Linked DNA regions of Oryzias latipes. The protein of the gene in region 2 interacts with the protein of the main gene of each other region in a biochemical or structural test. Links are inferred from orthologs where the notes say so. Each region holds a gene or a part of one and is shown on either strand. Other genes may lie near its edges.

Region 1 (2,743 bases), on a different chromosome or scaffold from region 2:
GCACAGGTGTCGTTTGGCCATGCGACAAAGCTTTATAGTGCGCTCCCTTGGTGATGAAAGTTAAGTAAGCGTTTCCGCCTGCTGCAGGGTGATGGTGCTGGATTGTTGACTATCAGCAGGAGGATGCTAAATGGTCCCATCTGAGAAGAGAAGAGACTGTATTAGTTTAAACAGTCATGATGAAAAGTGTGATCATACATGAGTGCTTATAACATGGTAGACAATGGCTAAACAGCTTTACTGAAGATACATGTCTTTATAAGCTCACTTCACAGTTGATTAAACGCTGAGCAGGATGTTAGCAACAATTGTCAGCAGCCAGAATATGACATCAGGCAGTGAGAGGATAGGGATGTCTCCCTCCTCATTCATCACTGCAAGACTATCAAGCTGCCAGAAAACAAGTGGGCCATCTGAATAATTCATAAGAACAAACTGAGAGCAGAAATTGGCTTACACCCCTGAGTTTCAGCACATGGACTGAATATCTTTTCTGATTTTTTTTTAAAGCATTAGAGTGTATTAGAGCTGAACTCAGGCGTGACTAGGAAATGGCATTCCCAATGAGAAGCATGCATGAACCAGTCCATCAATCTGTCACTCACCTTCCATTCCTACACAAGTCCATCATATAGAGACAGGGCCTGAACAATGGAGGGGTCTGCCTTCGAGCCCTCCTGAAACTCTTGCAGAGTCAGCTTTCCATCTGCATTCTGCAAGGAGGAGCAAAAATGACCCTCAAGATTAAAATGTTTAGCAAAGATATGCCAGCAGAGGGCAAAAAGGGATTTCTGTCTGAAGTAGAACTGGCTGATCTCTAAAATAAAACAAGTGTTTGGTGAAACCATAAAAGAACATAAATACATGAGAATAGTCATACATTCTGAGAAAAAAGCCAAAACTTGACAAAAATAAAGTTGTGCAATAATTAAAAAAAATCTACATTATTCAAGAACAAAATAATAATTTTAAGATTTAAAAAGTCATAATTTTTGCACGGAAAAAGTTGTGCTTTTTCAAAAATAAAGTTGGAATTTGATGAAAATAAAGTTGTATATTTACAATTGATGTTTTATTCTGTTTTTTTCTTATTCTTAAACCTTGTACAGTGACCTTGGGTGACCTGAAAGGTGCTTGAAATAAAATGTATTATTATTATCATTATTATTACAACACAAAGGTAAAGCAAATTCAGCAAGATTTTTGGAGCAGATCTCCATCCAATTTCTCTGATTTGTTTGCAACATTGATTAAAAGGGTAATGTTCGAAATGTGTTGAAACATTTTAAAAGCTAAAAATGTTATTTTATTTTCAAAAATAAAAGACTTTTTCCTTGTAAAATTAATTACCTTATTCTCATAAATTGTTGACATCTCTTGATAATTCTGCCTTTTTTCAGAAATCATTTGACTTTTTTTTCAGAACAGTAATAAGCTTTTTCTCAGCATTGTAGGCTATGACTTTATCTTCATAAAATTAGACTTTTTTTTTTAAACATTTTTCGACTTTATTCTCATATATTTGTTTTTTTTCCCCAAAAAATCCTGCCTTGGCCATTAACAAAATGACAAATAAATAGTGCAGGCTGTAGAGTTAGCTCTACAGGCGGATCTAATATGACAATACTGTTTCATCTATTACCAGAGCTGCAAAGAGTCTGGGGGCAGATGGAGTGGGCAGTAAAGGCTAATAGTGGAGATGAGTATAAGTGCAGGTGGTGTAAGTGATGCTGCTGAAATGGCTACAGAGAGCTCTCAGTTTAACAGTGTCTGTATTAGAGCCCCAAGGGTGCCAGTAAGGCTACACTCAGTCCTATTACTCTTAAACAAGTGATTCAATGAATACTGCACTTGATGCTGTCAAGCGCTCATACTGACCTCTAAAAGGTCGGACCAATTGATGCAATTCTCTGCTTTAATTTGCTGTTTGTCAGGTCTAGTTCAATACTAACCTTGTCCATCATTGCAAAAATGCGGTCGACTCGCTTTTCTGGTGTGTTCTCCTCCTCTGGCAATTCCACAGTGTTTCCCTTAGACATCACATCATTACACTGTGAACCGTGATGCTAGTGCAGGTAAACAGAGGGGATGTGTTTCTAAACTTACCACCATTTGGTATATGGCATCTACGATGTTTAGCATTTCATCACGAGTTATATAGCCGTCATTGTCGAGGTCATACAATTTAAAAGCCCCTGTAGAAAAAAAAGACAAAATGTCAAAACATATAACTCTCCATGAAGAAAAATATGGTAAAATAGAAATAAAAATAGAAAAATATATAGAAATAGAAATATCTCGGTGGAAACATTTGCTGCGGCAGTCAGAGACTAATTACAAGCTCAACAAAACATTTCTATCTGCAATATAAAAAAGATTGACGTATACACTGGTCTCTCGCTATATTGCGTTTCAGCTTTCGCAGTCATTGTCTTTGTATTTATCTTTTTAGTAATAATAGATTTAAGTTGCTGATATTCCAAGAAGTTATTTGTTCTATGTTTCTCTTGAAGTTCCTGGGGTGTTATGAATCTTCTATCAATAAATAGGTGCTCTAGTAGTGTTCCGCCCCCTGCTTGCCAAGCTGGGAAGCGTAACATTTTTTGCACTCTGCATCCTGATTGGCTGTAGACCTTGTGACTCAATCTTCTCCTTAAACACAATCATTTAGCCATATTTACATAAATCTTCGATCATGGTCAGGTTTTTGTTTTAATTCTATAATACTGGACTCATTTTTCTG
Region 2 (3,838 bases):
TAAGAGCTGTCTTAGGGCTGTTATCCTTATCTCCCTAATACAGGGGTTTGCAATACAGTTTGTATTAGCTCCACAATGCAACCATTATATTGTTTTAATCATACATTCTCTGTGATAAAGATGGATCATGATGTTCGGTTGCTGGGTATGGAATTGTTTTTTTCAACCTTAAAATTCAGCTGTTCATAAATGTGCAAATATGCACTATTTCTTCTATAGGTGCATGAACAATACACCCTACACTTTTAACATTGGAAACACATTTCTAAACATCTATCAACCAATGACAAATTCTTTCTGTTTTGTTTTTACAAATATTATTGCTTAAATAATTAAATAAAGAAATTAAAAAATGAATAGACAAATAAATAAAGAAATAAAATTCAAAATCATTCTATGATTTGTTGTAAATTTCAAATGGAAATGTTAAAGAATAAACGTATTTTTGTAAAAAACAAACACAAAAACAAAGGATGTTGTTTCATTTTTATTGTAGAAAGCTGCCCACACAGCTTGAGGTGCTTCTTGTGTGAGTCTGACCACAGTCTGCTTCAATGTTACTTCTATGCTTTACAAAGAATAATCATTTTGAAAACAAACCAACATGAGTTACAACTGTTCTTTATATACACACAGACAGATTGCAAAATAGCCCTTGTAGCTGGAGTAATTTGATGCTCCTGTTTTGTGGCAAAGCTCCAGTCTGACTTGAAGGGATACCAGCAGGGGTAGAAGAAGAAAGCTGTTTCATTTTTTCACCATTCATGTCTCACAGAAATATAGTCACAAAGGATAAATCGGCGAACGCATATGTTTTCTATGACGCTTAACATTGTCTTTTTTCACCACTTTTAAGTTTAATAATCTGAAAAATTGTCCTTTAGTGTCAATTCCTACAATTTTCATTGACTTAGCCTGACTGCATTTATCGCATGAAAAACTGAGACAATGAACTAAATGAAACGACAGAGGGTAGATCTTAAATTAAAGTTACTTTCTTTAACTACAATGCTTATTAGTCACTACATATGGATTATTTTAAGAAGTAAATGGCGTATAAATGGTAAATGGCGTATACTTGTATAGCGCCTTTCTTCCTACAAGGACAAAGCGCTTTACAGTCACAGACCCATTCACCCAGTCACACACACATTCACTCACACATTCACACACTGGTGGCGGCTCCGCTGCCAAACACAGGCGCCCGCCTACCACCAGAGGCAAGCTGGGGTTCAGTGTCTTGCCCAAGGACACTTCGACTCATGGGCGTGCAAGGCGGGAATCGAACCTGCAATCTTATGATCATGGGTCGACCGCCCTACCGCTGCACCATGGCCGCCCATGGTGCAGCGGTATTTGCATGCATTTTAAGAAAAATGCATTTTAATGCATTTTAAGAAGTATGTTTATATGCTGATGTTTGGTAATATCGCGCTTGAGGACAAAAAACGTCCCCCTTTTTTTGTTTTGTTTTATGAAATCCTCTGATTTAGACACTTTACCTTTACTGTTACTATATTCAGAAGCTTTGAAGAAGTGAAAATGGAAAATGTGTGAAAGGAGTGTACATTTCAAACATTCTTACCTGTGTTATTAAGCCCAAACAACAAGGGGCATGATATGGCAAAAGACATAACCCAGACCACAGAGATCATGACTGTGACTCTTCTCCTGGAACTATAGCGTGTGTTGTACAGCATTGGCATTGCCACTGCTGTGTATCTGAAAAGGGTAGAAAAAGAAACAGTTACAGTGTGTTGCGCACTGTGCCAGCCTCCTGGAAAGCCACGTGAACCATATTTACTGGAATTTACTCTACCTAACTCAACAAGGTAAAGGGATCAGGCAGAACAAAGTAAGACAAGAACTTTGTTAAATCTACTCATTCGTTCAGTATATTATCATATTCAGTTTCTTATATTTCTGTTTAATTGCATTAAATGAATCATAGGTCTGCCATTAGGCCTGTTGATGAACTTAATATTCTGTTTTATTGCTGATTATTTTTGAATAAAAAGGTAATATTATATATATAATGTGCACTATTGGTCAACAGAAAAATTGACAGTTAAAAGACTGCTTTGAGCCATTATACTGTTTTGCTTGGTCAATAAAAGCAGTTTTTTAACAGTAATCTGTGCTTTAATGTGTGCTCACATGGTTACATAAACAGACATATGGTACATTGATTTATCTTACATTAATCAACAAAGCCTTTATTTCTATATTTGACCGTGTGTTGGATGGCGTGCACACATTACTAATGTGGGGTTGTATGCTGTTTCTGTGTGCTCCTCTAGACGCAAAAGAAGGGACAAAGGGGGAAGTGGACTTGTGGTAAAAGCAAGGTTTTTAGGCCATGTCCTTATTTACATGGTGGCATCCGTATTGCGAAAAAATGGTAGCTTAATTAACTTCATTTTGCTGGAGCCAGAAGTAAGCCTTTTCTCGGGGGGACTCATACTCACTCAGTCCAGTTCTTATGTACAGTCAATGATTACAATTGTTATGTTAATTTAACTCTTTTACAGGCCAGTTGTTTCAGTTAAGTTGTTTTTATTTATTTTCTGGGTGGATTAAAAAAAACAACCTTGTCAAACATCCCTGTGTCGTTCTACCATTTGCCTGGTCCCCAACAGTCCTGTACTGCTTGGTCCCTCATACATACTTAAATGACAGGACAATAGTGTGCAAATACAATAAATCCGGCTAAAAGTTTTAACACACAATTTTTGCCATTACTCTGTTTAGGGAATGGAACTGTGTTCAGTTGAAATTCAACACAAATGGTTGTCCATGTTTATGGTTAGAATGAGTTCAATGTGATTACCTGCAAGGGTTTTCCTTTAATCATTATAAATTTTTCTTATTTAAAAAAATAATTTATTGTTATAGTAAATTAATAAATCAAAATCAGCATGGGGGAACAGTGAACACATGCAAAGAGAGGTGGCAGACTGAAGCAAATAAATTTCTCATAATCAGTGTCTGGAAGCTCGGCAATGTGCCAGGGACCTGAAGGCTCATCTTTATCCCATGGAGCTGTAGTTTGCAAGATATTGCAGATTTTACCCAAAGGTACAGCACTGTTTATTTACTAAATGTAGAATTATTTCATTTTCATTCTACCTTGTGGGAAATAATGCAGCTGTTCACTGTTCTTTGTAAGTTTGTGATACGATTTGCTCACAGTACTGAAGCTAATAACTAGTAATTGATGCTGAGATTCACAAACAATGCTGAGGTTATATCTGCTATTTTATTAAAATTGATAAACTGATTAAAATATGCAAAAGATGTTCATTGGAAACTGGATTTGGGTCAGCAGTGCAAAAACTTTTAGCGCCATATGTTTTAGTTCTGCTTATCAACTTGAAAGCATTTGTACATTTTTTTCTTAGTCTTAAAAGGCAGAATGTTATTTTCAAGTGACATTAGAGCACAAAGAGATTAGAAGCTAGGTCTATATCTAGAGGTAGCTATGTTTACTTAACCAAATGCAGTTTGTTTAACGCTGAGAGGATGGGTGTAAATTATACTTCAGCTGTTTACCTGATGGTTAAAGCGCTGCCAAAGATATATCATTAACCATGACATGTAAACACCTACAACATTGGCTGTCATTTTTCACTATATTTTAACTTTGAGGCTGTTCTGCATGCACCTCCATCATAGTCCATCTCGACTGACTGATGCATAGCTTCTTATGCACCAGTATATTACCTGCTCTGCTTTTGATCAATGGGAATTTTAGCCCAAAGCAACAAGGAACATGCATCCTGCGAGTGGACCAGAAATGATGCTTGTCATTACTGATCAGATCCGTTTTGATGTTGAA

What was found.
Region 1: the proteins of drd2 (region 2) and ncs1 form a complex in vitro, tested with the Homo sapiens proteins (2 studies listed by BioGRID, with this or other methods). The link is inferred for Oryzias latipes from reciprocal best matches to the Homo sapiens genes DRD2 and NCS1.

What each region holds. Positions count from the first base shown.
Region 1 is NC_019867.2:19,604,268-19,607,010, forward strand, and holds part of ncs1 (neuronal calcium sensor 1), read right to left. Parts: intron 2,196-2,743; coding exon 2,107-2,195; intron 2,031-2,106; coding exon 1,953-2,030; intron 714-1,952; coding exon 615-713; 3' UTR 606-614; intron 141-605; 3' UTR 1-140. UniProt on the Homo sapiens protein: Neuronal calcium sensor, regulator of G protein-coupled receptor phosphorylation in a calcium dependent manner. Directly regulates GRK1 (RHOK), but not GRK2 to GRK5. Can substitute for calmodulin. Stimulates PI4KB kinase activity.
Region 2 is NC_019871.2:15,647,515-15,651,352, forward strand, and holds part of drd2 (D(2) dopamine receptor), read right to left. Parts: intron 1,723-3,838; coding exon 1,586-1,722; intron 1-1,585. UniProt on the Homo sapiens protein: Dopamine receptor whose activity is mediated by G proteins which inhibit adenylyl cyclase. Positively regulates postnatal regression of retinal hyaloid vessels via suppression of VEGFR2/KDR activity, downstream of OPN5.